2 linked regions of the Stegostoma tigrinum genome follow. The protein of the gene in region 1 purifies or fractionates together with the protein of each later gene. This does not show direct contact. Links are inferred from orthologs where the notes say so. Each region holds a gene or a part of one and is shown in the gene's direction. Other genes may lie near its edges.

What was found. The genes of interacting proteins can lie anywhere in the genome.
Region 2: the proteins of pan2 (region 1) and pan3 purify together in Homo sapiens (co-immunoprecipitation; 5 studies listed by BioGRID and IntAct, with this or other methods). This does not show direct contact. The link is inferred for Stegostoma tigrinum from reciprocal best matches to the Homo sapiens genes PAN2 and PAN3.

Annotation. Positions count from the first base shown.
Region 1 is NC_081404.1:18,294,975-18,302,589, forward strand, and holds the start of pan2 (PAN2-PAN3 deadenylation complex catalytic subunit PAN2), read left to right. Parts: upstream 1-4,613; 5' UTR 4,614-4,689; exon of another isoform or gene 4,690-4,764; intron 4,765-6,262; 5' UTR 6,263-6,308; intron 6,309-6,888; 5' UTR 6,889-6,896; coding exon 6,897-7,208; intron 7,209-7,615. UniProt on the Homo sapiens protein: Catalytic subunit of the poly(A)-nuclease (PAN) deadenylation complex, one of two cytoplasmic mRNA deadenylases involved in general and miRNA-mediated mRNA turnover.
Region 2 is NC_081359.1:78,818,020-78,825,185, forward strand, and holds the start of pan3 (PAN2-PAN3 deadenylation complex subunit PAN3), read left to right. Parts: upstream 1-4,161; 5' UTR 4,162-4,606; coding exon 4,607-4,961; intron 4,962-7,166. UniProt on the Homo sapiens protein: Regulatory subunit of the poly(A)-nuclease (PAN) deadenylation complex, one of two cytoplasmic mRNA deadenylases involved in general and miRNA-mediated mRNA turnover.

The DNA of each region.
Region 1 (7,615 bases):
CTCTGATGAAGGGTCTAGGCCCGAAACGTCAGCTTTTGTGCTCCTGAGATGCTGCTTGGCCTGCTGTGTTCATCCAGCCTCACATTTTATTATCTTGGAATCTCCAGCATCTGCAGTTCCCATTATCTCTTTTAGTAGAGATGTTGGCCTTCCAAAGCTGTAGGTTTTCTGCTTAGGCCTGCAACCTCAGGAATCTGCCCAACATAGATCATTGGGGACAGGCTCTTTTTTAAAAATTCACTTGTGGAATGTGGGTATCACTGGGTGGGCCAGCATTTATTGCCTGTTCCTACTTTTCCTATTCATCTCCAATGAAGAATGTTTTCAAGGTGGGAAGATGCTCCAAAAATTCGAATGGCAATAGTGGTTGAATGTGGGACAGTAGCTGTTCAACTAACTTTTGGAAAACGACGTTCAATTCGGTTTATTGAAAATCCCAATGTTATTCCCCCATCCCCCTTTTTTGGATTAAAAATCTACTAAAACCCCCACTACAAATGTGACAAATCAGAATGAATTGTCTTTAAAACTCACAATTTCACAGGGGGCATTTCAGAGACCAGAAACACAGGACCTAATTTGTGTTTTCAAAATTTGAAATCCCCTTCAAGTTTTCATGTCCTTAAATAACCTGTCACAACAGAGAACATTCCAGGGTGCTTGACAACCAATGAAGTACATTTGGAAGTGCTGTCACTATATAAAGTAGGAAATGTGGCAATCGTATTGTGCAAAGCAAGCTCCCACTTACAGCAGTGAGGTAATAATCTATTTAAGTGATGCTGATTGAGGGATAAATGTTGCTCAGGATACCAAAAGAACTGTCCTCTTCTTGAAGTAGTCCACTTGAAAAGGGTATCTCGGGCTTTGGTGTAACTCTTGTCTGAAAGGTGGTAGCTCAACACTGCTGCAAGGTGTCAGCCAAGATTATTTCCAATTTACATTTTCTTTTCGTTCACAAGTACAGGAATGACTACACTTAAAGCATAAATTATGTGTAATTGCTTTGTGTCATGTGTTTGTAATCTCAGCTGTTCATGACTTTGCATTTTATAAGGGGATTAGTCAAGAACACAAGAAATAGAAGCAGAAGTAGGTCATTTTACCCTTCAAGCCTGCTGCACCATTCAATAGGATCATAGCTGATTTAATTGTGGCCTCCAGCTACCTGTTTGCCCTGCCTTAACTGACCTGTCAACCAAAAATCTATTCAACTGTTAAATATATTTAATGACGCAACCACTACTGTGGAAAAGCCATTCTCTGCGGAATAGAATTCCACAAATGATCTTTTGTAAAAAATATGATCTGATTTCAATTTTAAATGGGAGAATCCTCATTTTTAAAAACCAAAGGAACTGCGGATGCTGTAAATCAGATACAAAAACAGAAGTTGCTGGAAAAGCTCGGCAGGTCTGGCAGCATCTGTGAAGAGAAATCAGAGTTAACGTTTCGAGTCGATTGACAGTTCGGAGGAAGGATCACCGGACCCGAAACATTAACTCTGATTTCTCTTCACAGATGCTGCTGGACCTGTTGACTTTTTTTCCAGCAACTTCTGTTTTTGTTCATTTTTAAACCGTGCCCACTAGTTCTCGACTCCCCTGAGAAGGGGAAACATCCTTTCAGCATCCACCCTGTCAATAGTTAGCTCAGTTGGCTGGATGGCAGGTTTGTGATACAGAGTGATGATAACAGCTTAGGTTCAATCCCCACACTGGCTGCAGATTTCAAGGACACTCCTTTGCAACATCTCCTCTTGCCCTAGGTGTGGTGACCCTCAGGTTAAGCCACCACTAGTTGTCTCTCTCTCTAATCGGAGAACCTGTGTCATCAGTAAATTTAGTGACTCAGTCCTTTCAACCAAATGGTATCGACTGTAAATAGTTGAGGCCCCCACTCATCCCTGTAGCACTCCACTAATCATTGCTTATCAACCTAAAAATAAGCCGTTTCTGCTTCCTATTTACAAACTGATCTCTCTTGACTTTGCTCAGGAGACAACAGCCAGACCCAAGTTGGAAGCACTCCAAGCTCAGGCGTATTTGGAGAGACAGCGAGAGCCAGCGAGAGAGAGAGAGAGAGAAAGAGAGAAAAGAGAGGGAGCAACAATAGTGAGAGGGGATGCCACTGTTAAGGAATCAGACTGGAGTTTTTGCAGTCATTGAAGTGACTACAGGACAGTATGTTGCCTCCCTCGTGTCAAAGTAAATGGATGTTACAGAGAAACTGCAGGGGAGGGTGAGGTCATGCCCATATTGACATCAATGACTTATGTAGGAATAGGAATGAGGTCCTGAAAGCAGATTTCAAGGAGCTATGTGAGAGACTGAAAGGCATGTGGTCTCAGGATTGCTTCCAGTCCCTTCTGCCAATGATCTTACAAATAGGAGAATTAAATGGGATTAGATTACACAGTTAGTTTACTCAGCCAGCGAAGACATGCTGAGCTGAATGTCCCCTTTCTGTGTTGTAATGTTTCTATGTAAGCACCAGAGACCCGGGTTTGATTCCAGCTTTGGGTGACTGTGTGGAGTTTGCACGTTCTTCCCATGTCTGTGTGGGTTTCCACCATGTGCTCCAGTTTCCTTCCACAGTCCAAAGATGTGCAGGTTAGATGGATTGGCAAGGCTAAATTGTCCGTAGTGTCCAGGGATGTGCAGGCTAGATGGGTTAGCCATTCGGCCTATTGAGTCATGCTCCACTAGGTCCTGATAAATCCTGAACTCCACTTTCATGCCTTTTCCCCATTACCCAAGGGTCTAGGCCCGAAACGTCAGCTTTTGTGCTCCTGAGATGCTGCTTGGCCTGCTGTGTTCATCCAGCTCCACACTTTGTTATCTCAGATTCTCCAGCATCTGCAGTTCCCATTACCCTTGATTCTCTTACTGATTACAAATTTGTCTATTTCAGCCATGAATCTACTTAATAAACCAGCTTCTACAGCTATTTGTAGTAAAGAGTTCCACCAGATTCACTACTCTGTGGCTAGTTGTGGTGGTGCAGTGGCTATGTTGCCAAGTAAGCAAACCTTGAGCTCTGGTTCAAATTCTGGTGCAAAATCCAATCTGGGGATTAAAATCACATAATTAAGAAGGTGCCTAGGCTAAATGAGTTAAAGCGTCTGTCTTGTAACCAGGAGATTCGGACTTTGAATTTCTGTGGTACATTTCAGCCCAAAGGGCTTTTAAATTAACCTCCGAGCCAGGAGCCCTGAGTTCAAGTCCCACCTGCTCCAGCTGTGAGTAATGGCATCTTTGAACAGGTTGATTAGGACAAAAATATCATTAAATACCCTCAAAGAAGAAATTCCTCCTAATTTCTGTCTTAAAGGCATGATCCATTACTCTGACATTGCACTCTCTGGATCTGGACTTTTCCTCTAAAGGAAATAACTTTCCTATATCTACCCTGTCAAACTCCCCTAAGAATTTTGTATGTTTCAATAAGATTATTTCTCACATGTCTCAATTCCAATGAATGTTGACCTAACCTACTCAACTCTGCTTATGAGAAAATCCCCCCCACCATGCCTGGGATCAACCTAGTGTACCTTCTCTGTCTCCAGTGCAAGAATATCATTTTTCCCATTATTCATTTTTTTGTTACTTCTTCAAAGAATTCTGATAAACTAGTCAAAACATTTACAAGCTTTAAGTTGACATGTTTGTTTTAGCCAAGTCCAAAATGAGTTTCAGTATTTGAAAGATGGATAGAGTTGTGAAATAGTTTATATGCAATAATGAACTACCCCTTCATTCAAACATAAAACAGAAATTGAAGAAACTCAGCAGGTCTGGCAGCATCTGTGGAAAGAAAACAGAGCTAATGTTTTGAGTCTGGTGTAACTCCTTCAGCCCTTTCATTCCTCCATCAAAAGCCCCAATTTATGACACATTATGTGTAATACTTTTACACTGGTAACTTTCTACACGTACGCATACTGTTTTGTTAAAATTCAACTTTGCATAAACACCAGAGATGGTAGGTGAAGGGTCATTTGCTGAAGAAGGGTCTAGGCCCGAAACGTCAGCCTTCCTGCTCCTCTGATGCTACTTGGCCTGTTGCGTTCATCCAGCTCTACATCTTGTTATCTTTGTATAACACCAAGCAGCTTTAAAACTGTACCTCGAACTGTGCGTAGTATTGCGAACTCTGGTTGTACATATTGCTGCATATTACCACGTGAAACTTGTCCCCAAGTAACTTCCATAAACTGCATTTTTGACTCATTCTTTCCCCTCTCCAATAATAATTGAAAATATTCATTTTTTAAAAGCTTTTATTCCAAGCAGCAGCGAACCGACGATTCAACTTTAATTCCGGGAGATCTGGCAACAATAATATTACCCTATCATGAACCATGCTGAGGAGCAAAAATACAGGGATTGGGGAAACGGAGAAAATGAAGTAACTTTCCTACCATTGTACCTCAAACCCGAAATTCAATTACAAAGTGTCGCAAATAAACGATAAGAAGATTCTGCAACTTTCTTTTACCACTTGCCTCGCTCGTCATGTTCTTCCCGGATTTAGTTTCGACTTTTACTTCGGTTGCGGTGCTGAGCAGCACCCGTAGATGACTGAGCAACCCCGCCTCCAGGGGTCAGTGATTGGGTGCAACGTTTGTCCATCAGACTAATACTATTGCAGTGGATTGTGGGAAATAGGCTTTGTTGTTACGCTTTTGTGAGTTGCTTTAATGATAGTTGGTTATGTTTTTGTGTTTAATGTGATACGATAAATGGTAAAAAGGAAGTGCTGGTAGGTTCAATATCCAGTACGTGATAAGTTGGCCATGTAACTAGAGTTTAATACGAAGTAACAGGAAAAATCAATCAGCGATGCTGGCTGGGCCTGGTTGACGTTTTCCCTCAAACCTTTGCCTTAACCATCATCTCTGGCTGCTTAATATTGTCGAAATGACAGCCGGGCGATAATTGTTTGAGATTATGAATGAAAAAAATAGAAAACAGCACAAATTACAGCAAATTAACTAAGCCAACTTTCGCGCGAAAGAGACTGCCTTTCACCTGTGCCAGTCCAGTGTGAAATACTAGAATGGCTAGAAGACTTAATAAAAACGTTGGAGATCAGTGAAAAGTTTGATCTACTAAGTTAAAGTTTATGGTATCTTTTACATTGTTGGTTGCCCTTTTCTTTGCCCATGGTGTGTGTTACTCGTGAATCCGCTTTTAGGAAATGCATAAAATAGCTTAGGGATAGTAAGAACTGCCGATGCTGGATGAACACAGCAGGCCCGGCAGCATCAGAGGAGCAGGAAAGCTGAAGTTTCGGGGGAAATACTGTTCTGATGCTGCCTGGCTTGTTGCGTTCCTCCAGCTCCATACTGTGTCATCTCAGAAAATAGCTTAGTTTGCTGCACACACTATTTTGTTACTTATTGATTTTTGGGTTTATATGTTCTTCCTAATACCATGCCATGAATTATTATTTGATTCATTCTACATAAACACTTTACAACATCAGGAACGTGGGGTCCTGGATAAACAGGCGTATCATTTGATTTATGCCATTCCATTCTACAAAACCTGTCGTCAACATGGCCTTTGTGTTGCCTACCATAAAGTTTCATTTGGAATGTGAAAATTTCGAGTAGACAGGAGTTTCAGCTACAGGGAATTTCCTTTAATCTGTTTTTACTTGGGGCATCTAGTCTGTCCATTGCAGTATTGATGAAAATTTTATTAAGAGATGGTATTGTTAAATGCATTGGGATGTCATTAAGTTCTTACTGCTTAAGTTGCAATTTTAGTAATGGGCATTTGGGAAAGAGAGAACAACCCATTCTAAATCAGTGTAATGTAATCTCAACCACTGGTTTTATGTCCTACTGTGAGACTTGAATTTCCAGTAACTTTTATGTTGTTGATCGTCTACCTATTGCATTAAAAAGAGAAACATTGGTCAGGATTCCCACTGCTGCTCGCTATCCAATCATAACTGCTGGAAGTAGGCATGTTGGTTGCAGACAATGGTTATGATGCCCTGCAGAATTAAATTGCTTGCCAGTATTTACTATCCCAAAAGGGTTGTGTCCACTTGGATTAGGGGCCATCTGGTGCCCAGTGAAGGATCAATGTCTTTTCAAAAAGATATTACGGAATTTGTGATTTACCATAAGTTGGAGAAATCCTCAGCATTGTTCGGAAAAGTGCTTCCACCAAGATGGGTTGGATATGACTAATTAAAAATAGGTGATAATTTTGAATGACTGATGTTTTCTTTGCATTATTTGTAGCTTTGATGTCATAAATAAATGGAAGATTGGACTTTAGAAATCAATGGTAAGTGTAAGTCAAATGTTTTTTGCGTTGTATTTAGTTTAATAATTGGATAACAGTGCTGGAGTCATTACAAAAAGGCAGGTTGTTGTGTGCTCCAGTTACATTGATATTTGAGGATTGGTTGAATCCCAACCTGCATTGTGCTTGAGGCACTGGGCCTATTATTTTACGTCGTACACCATTGGAGTTTGGAAGGGGTTTTGTGATTTTATTCGAATTTTATTCTGTGCGTTTTCATTATGGACCTCAGGCTTCCGTGTTCTGTGGTATAATTGTGCATTAATTTAGAATTTTGTAGAATGTTTTTCTGCACATTGCAGGGTAGCTAGCAACCGCTTGTGTTCATGTAAGAATTTTTAAAAATGCCTCCTGCTCCCTGGTAGAGGCGTGACTAGTGTAATCTTCAAATGGTACGTACATAATGTAATAATAGAGGGGATAGGATGTTTTCAATTGGGGCAATAAACTGGAAGTAATATTTATTTTTGCCTACATGTTTTGGTTAATATACATTTGAATAACTGCTGTCTAAATTCAAATATATTTCTCTTCCATGTACCTCTATTCTTTTTATCCCTAGAATAAACCATGAATTTTGATGGCCTTGATTCTGGCCTGGGGGAATACTCACCATCCCTGCATCCTGGCATTGACACTTCCCTTGACAATTCAATTGAGCATTCCCTGGACCCAAGGCTGGACCCAAACTTACTGCAGAATGTGGAACTGGAAACTGATGGTGTCCAGCTGGATGGCATGCCAGTCTCAGTGTCTGAATCTGTACACCTTGTGGAGGGAATGTATTCAGCGCTGCATAGGGTTGTTGCAGAAGTCGGAGTCCCTATAACCGCCTCACATTTTGACGTTCAAGATGAATTGCTCTGGGTGGGAAATCATGGGGTAAGTGTAGTACATTAACTTCCAACCAAGTAAGCTAATGGGTCTCAATTCTAGTACAGAAACCTTTGGATATACCAGTGGATAAGTAATTGGCATGTTGTACTTGTACAGCTTACAGGTCTCTTGATATGGCTGGGATGATGATTTGTTGATGAGTCCTAACCCAGTGATGTTGCAACTTGACTTGTAAATTTTTCAGTATAATGAAAAGGTTGAGTTTGAAGTTAGTTGTTAGGTGTTTCTGTTTAATATACTCAGTATGATCAGACATAGACCTGTTTTTCTAATCAACCTGTTCAGAGATGGTATTACACATCTCTGGAGCAGCTGAGACTTTGAACCCTGCCTCTTGGTTCAGGGAAAAGGGTACTGCCACGGCACTACAAGAGGACCCTTATGAGCAGATT
Region 2 (7,166 bases), on another chromosome or scaffold:
ATTGGGTCAAATCATAATCTGTGCCTATATAATAGTTTTATACAGTTTGTGCATTTGACAAAGTGTAACATTCCATTTTTACAAAAAAAAGCCTGCTGTAATTAATAAATAAGTTTGAGCATTCGCTTCTTGATCTTTGGAAGTGTCTGCATTTCCTCTTTTTGTTTCATTGCTCACCAGTCATGACATCAAAAAATTTCCCTACAACAAATTTGAGAATAATTGTCTCATCACAATACTACAGCAAAACAAAACTCAGAATATTGCTGCTGTTTTACCTAGAGACAAACATCAGATAGGTATTCATTTAAATATAAATTTTGACTCTTACACATCCTCAGGAATAAAATGGCAGAAAGATTTCAAAACAAAAGATTCAACTCTGTTTCCAGCAGTGCAAATATAGAGGTACCTAGGTCTTTAAAGCATGTCACTCAAATTAAATAATCTGACAATATTTTTGGCAAAAGTGGACTAGAAACAACTAATAGAAAATGAATTAGTGTTAGAAAACTGGGAGTTACTCAAGGAGGAGATAGAGAAGGTTAAGAATAAATATGCTCCTAGAAAGCAAAAAAGCAAAACTTCTAAATTTAGACACATCTGTTAAGAGACTTAGTAGGATAAGCCAAGAAAGTAAAGATTGTGTGTTAAAACTGCTGATTTTCTTGACATATATTAATTACCTAGACTTTGGTGTACACAGTGTGATTTCAAAATCTGCAGGTGATATTGTATAATTGAGTCTTTTTTAAACAATTTTTGTACTTTAGTTAAGTGCAATGATTATGCAAGAAAAATTATATTAGAGATCTACAGCAGAGAAAAGTTCTTTTGGACCATTTAGATATTATGGTGATTAATTGTGGTCAATATAAGGGAAGAGTCTTATACTTTTGTATGCAGCAGTATGCTGCTGGGTAAGATTTAGCCTGAGACAACAGAGTGCCATTTTTTTAAGGCTTGCTGTGAATGCACTTTGAAACAAAACAGCTGTAGATTTCAATACGCAGTCATTACTTAGCTTTAAAGTTACAAAGTGCCTTAAACAGAAACAGTCACTTTGCTTTAAAGTATGTAATATGCATGGAATAGGGGAATATGGACCTCACAGAGGCAAAAAGTGTTGAGTTTAGAAGGCATCATCTGTTCATGCACAATTATTGAGCTCAGATTTAATTCTTGGCAACATAACCCTAATCCTCTGAAGAACAAAGGGAGATGGTACTGCCCTTTCAAAGTGACATTTGTGTTAACTTGTTCCAAGAACCAGCAGTCACTGTGAAGTTACTTATTAACAAATGGCTCCTGAACTCTCCAGATACTCAGGTGTACCAATTAAATATTTCAGATGATGATGATCCTGTAGTATGTTATTGTAGAATTACAGTTCACAACAAACAACTACACCTCCCAGTCGTGAACCATTTCAACTAACCACCCCCCCCCACCAACTCCTTGGATGACATGTCCATCCTGGGCCTCCTGCATTGCCACAATGACGCCATCCGAAAGATGCAGGAACAGCATCTCATATTTCGCTTGCGAACCCTGCAGTCCAAGGTTATCAATGTGTATTTCACAAACTTCAAAATCTCCCCTGCCCCGACCACATCCCAAAACTAGCCCAGCTAGTCCCCGCCTCCCTAACCATTCCTCCCACCTCAAGCCCCACCCCCATCTCCTACCCACTAACCTCATCCCACCTCCTTGACCTGTCCTTCGTTCCTGGACTGACCTATCCCCTCCCTAACTCCCCACCTACATTCACCTGCACTGGCTCTGACCCAGCCTCTTTGACCTATCTGTCTCCTCTCACCCTATCTTCTCCTTTATCCATCTTCTATCCGCCTCACCAACTCTCCCTACTTATTTCAGAATCCCCTTCCCCTCTCCCATTTCTGAAGAAGGGTCTCGACCCAAAACATCAAACTTTCTTGTTCCTCTGATGCTGCTTGGCCTGCTGTGTTCATCCAGCTTCACACCGTATGTTATTGTATGAGAGCTATAAATTCAGTAATCTAATGGGGAAAGGATGCTGGTAACGAACACAGAATCATAGAATCTATACAGTGCAGAAAGAAGCCATTTGGCCCATCCAGTCTGCACTGACCCTCTGAAGAGCATCCCACCCAGACTGTGAGACTTTGCATTTACCATGACCATACCTCATCTCTGGACACCCTGAGTAATTTAGCATAGTCAATCCAACTGACCTACACATCTTTGGACTGGGGGAGAAAACCAGGTCACCTGGAAGAATCTCATGCAGACACAGGTAGAATGTATAAACTCCATACAGACGAAGATGGAATCGAACCCAGGTCCCTGGCACTGTGTGGCAGCAGTGCTAACCTCTGATCCACCATATATAGATATCTTCAGGAAACAGTCAGGAGATAACAGGGAGGTGATATCAGTAACAATGACTATCACCGTTAAGAATAAAACAAAGAACTGTTGATCAGAAGCAAACAAAAACAAGTTGCTGCAGAAATTCAGCAAGTCTCTGACATTACAAGGAATGAGGATTTTAGTTAAGAGAAAAGGGTATAAATATTGGAACAAAAACAGAGAACATTGGAAATAGCCAGCAAATTTAGCAGCATTTGTGGAAAAAAAAGTTAATTCTTCAGGTCAAAACTAGGGTTACTTCTTTGGATCAGATGTGGCTAAGAAGTTATTTAGTTGAGGTATATAAAATTATCAAGTGTGTAGACAGAATGATAAAAAGCTATCCCCTCCCCACCTACACTCTCTCCACCTATCTTCTTTACTCTCCATCTTCGGTCCGCCTGCCCCTCTCTCCCTATTTATTCCAGTTCCCTCCCCCCATCCCCCTCTCTGATGAAGGGTCTAGGCCCGAAACGTCAGCTTTTGTGCTCCTGAGATGCTGCTTGGCCTGCTGTGTTCATCCAGCCTCACATTTTATTATCTATGATAAAAAGCTATTTCTGTTAACAGAGTTTTAATGAGGATGTGAGATACATTTTAAGTAAAGGTATAGGTGGGGTGTTATGAATTTTTTTCACTTTTGAGTATGGTGCAGATTGAGAACTTTGAAAAGGTGACACTGTCAGAAATTCTCATCTGGTTTAATAATAATCGGAAATGCACTTTGAGAGCTACAGACTAACAGCTGGAAAATGAGATTAGGTGGATATTTGTCTATGGATATTTCTATCTTCTTTCTAATGTAGGATGCTTATTTCAAAATTCAGCAACATTTCATTCATAGACTTGGGTTTTTAATTTGATTTTTCTCATTTTTAAATTAACGTACTTTCCTATGTATCCACTGTGATCTTTTTAAAATCAGAAATACTTTCTTCAGCATTAGCTAGACTTCAGGAACAACACCTAAATTTTGTAAAGGCTACCCTTTATATTCATTCTTAAGCAATTGTTTAAGAAGCAGGAGCAAGCATCTACCATAAAGTAATTGACTTTGGATTTGAAATGAATAACACCAATAAGCCTTCAAGTGAAGGATTTCACACTTTAGTTGCAATAACTAGTATAGTAATTATCATGGAGTCATAACATGGTTACTGCATCGTAGGTCATTTGGCCTGTTTGGTTACGGTCCTTCCTGGAATAGCAATTCACCTACCCTGCATCCTTGGTCTTTTCCCCACAGTCCTGTTATTATTTCTCCCCTTTCAGATTATTGCCCAATTATCTTTCGAAAGCCACGAATCTCTCTCCACCTCTGGCAATGCATTCCAGGCCCTAACCACTTGCTGGATTAACCAAAAAAAGGTTCATTTTGCCAATCATCCAGAATTGGTGCCCTCTGATTCTCCATCTTTCCCTTAACCGTAACAGCTTGTCTCTATCTGGTCTGTCCTGGTCCCCGAACAACCGCTGGGCTTCAAACGCCTCCATTTTACATCGTGCTCTTCTTTGTTTGCATACGAGGTGGTGGGGGTGGGGAGGGTAGGGAGAAACACAGCAGTGATAACAATAATCGATCGAGATGGAGACGGAAAACACCGTTAAGGATACGATCAGCAGGTGCACGCATTAACTTTGGCGGTGTGGAGGGAAGAAAAAGTGAAAGAAGCAGCAGCTGATAGCAACGCCCCCTCCCTCTTCACCATTTGTTTTGATTCCTTGGGTGCGAATGCGCCAGGGTTGCGCATGCGCACAAGGCGCCAGCTGGCTGCTCGGCGGAGGCCGCTTCCAGCCGGAAAAAAACAAGGAGCGGGGTGGGGGGGGAGGAAGGAGAGAGGAAAACTTGTAGCTGTGGTCAAAGCAGCTCCCGCCATCGGCAGAAATAAATATCACCGCTGGGGAGCCTGAGCCTGATCCGATTTAGCCATCCTCCGTCTTTTTATTTTCGCTCCGATCGATTGACGGAGGCCGGTGCATCGGAGCTTGTGTGTGTGTGTGTTTTTTTCCGCACCCACCCGCCCGCTCCTTTTCCTTCCAATGTTGTTGTTCTTCTCCGCCTCGGCTCACGGATTTGAATTGTGGGAGAAGCAGGGAGGCCGGAGCCGGATCTGCACTCGCGGCGGCTCTGCCTCCTCGCCGGCCGTGCGTGCAGTGGCCGCCGCCGTTTGAAAAGGTGGCTTACTCCAGCCTTTTCCCGCCTCCGCCTACCATGAACGGTGGTGGTGGTGGTGGTGGTGGCGGCGGCGGGCCACTGCCGGGCGGAGGCTCCAAGGTGAAGTACTGCCGTTACTACGCTAAGGACAAGACCTGTTTCTACGGCGACGAGTGTCAGTTCCTGCACGAGGATCCCAACAATGGCGCCGCTTCCGCGAGCCTCGGTCTTGTCGTCAATAAAAACCACCCGGGACTGGCAGTCGGGACGGCCGTGGCTGCGCCGGGAGCCGGAGGAGGAGCTGCTGGCGGAGGAGGGAGCGGCGGCAGTGCCGCCGGGGGAGGATACCCACACGGAGGGCCCAAGAAAAACGAACTCGGCAGCCTGGTGGAGCCTGGGCAGCTGCTCACCAGTGAGTGTGATGTTGGATATGTTTCAGTGCCGTATATTAAACTAGTCCCGAAGGTGCCGCGTATCGAAGGAGACGCTGTTGCGCGATGCAAATATATTCAGTGTCTTTTTTTTAAACACACGCTCACTCCTGTAGAGGAAACGGCGGTTTGCTTGTCAAGTGCACCCGGAAGAGTAGGGTAGACATGCCTCTATTATCGTTGATCGATCTTTACCATTACATATGTCCTGAAGAGTGATTTGTCATTGGATATACATGCTTTCTAAAGTGAAAAATGTGTAATGTTAGCTTTGGGAGACTTGAAGAACACGCCTTGTTGATCCGCATGAGGCAGAACTACCAAGTAAACAACAGATGTAGGTTTTTCTTTGGTGTAGTTGATTCACAATTGACCTGTTGTTTATTCTGAAGTTTAATGGATTGAGGTATAGGTTCTAAATATGCTGAACAGCTTTGATACTTTAAAAGTTGAGAGGCTTCAAGGAATAGGTATCTCAACCTACACTTATTTGGTCACTTTTTAATGAAAAATAAAATCCTGTGGCATTTCAGTGAAGTGCGACTGAACAGACTTTCTCCCAATAAGGGAGATTTGCTGAGATTACCAAAAACCAAATCAGATATGGGTTTGGGGACACATAGCTGTAGGATAACCATCAGTGATGGAACAAAAGTAAATTGGGAGTGTATGGTAAACATAAATGGTTGGAATCAGCTTGGCAATTTTCTTTTTAACTAATTTGTTTATCTCTGATTATGTCTGGCCAAAGGTGCTCCCAGGAAGGCAGGGATAACCTGAAAAGTTAACTTTTAATATAACCTGATCTCAATGCTGTAGTATACTGCACATGATATGGTGCTCTCATGTTATTTTTTTACTTGGATAAATCCGGTATTTTTCTGATGAATTAGATTTCAATTAGTTGAATTGATTCATGATCGTTAGGAAATAATAACAAATACATGTATGCCTTAAATGAAAGTAAGGCATAAGCTGATCAAAGGAATAAGGTACAATAAGCTCAGTGATAAAGTTACTGATCATATCAATTTAAAGTATCTTAGATGGAAAATCAGAGCTGGAGTTTTCTGTTCGTTCCTCAAGTTTGTACCGTTATCCAATTCAGTTATGTTGACTGTGTATCTATTCCAATAACATGCAGCTGACTCATGTACATCCTTGCTAATAAAAAAAACCTGTTGACCTCAATCTTAACTTTTAATTTAGTTGAGAATCCACAAGCTTTTGATGGAGAAGATTCCACATTTCTGGGAAACGTTGCATGGAAGAACAGTTTCCTTGTTTTGTTTTTAATGATGCAGCTCTAATTTTATTGAAGATGCCCACTTTTCTGGATTCTTTGCCAGCGGAACTAGTTTCTCTGTACTCTATCAATTAACTTATTATTTTAACTACCACAGTTTGATTGCCCCTCAACCATCTACCATAGGTAGTGCTCGAAGCAAACAGTACAGATATATTTAAGGGGAAATTTGTCAAGATTCTAAAGGAGATGAGTGTTATGGCAGTAAACTCAAAAACAAATTTGCTGGAAAACCTCAGCAGGTCTGGCAGCTCCTGTGAAGGAAGAAAACAGTGAACGTTTCGGGTCCACTAACCCTTCCTCGGACCTGCTGAGCTTTTCCACCAACTTTGTTTTTGTTCCTGATTTACAGCATCCGCAGTTCTTTCGGTTTTCATTTGTTATGATAGTAGATTTGGATAAGCAAAGATTGGAGGGGACTGAAACAGTGTTTAAACATTGACATGGACTTGTGGAATGAATGACATGTTTAAGTGCTTTTCTTCTATTCCCTATTTTGAAGTTAGGTTAAGCTATAGTTGTGCAGCTCTGTTAATTTAATTCTTTTGACAACATCATGGTAAATTTGGTGCTTTCCAAAGTTGTCATGTTTCTTAACGTCTGCTGCCCACACTGAATAGAGTACTCAAGAAAGGGTATGACCATTTCTGTATAACTGAAACTTAACTTGCCTTTTTTCCCAACTCCTTGAAATATGGGTCTGCACACTCTACAGGAGGCTTTTGCCAATGTTCACTATTACTGTTACAGTGAGGACCTGGGGGAGCACCTTCAGGAAATTAAAGGTGATATCATTCTGGAGAGATGAGATTTAAAGCAGAGAATTTGTCAAACCTATAGTATCTTAATCAAAGATGATGAGAGGCTATTGAAACGTTTA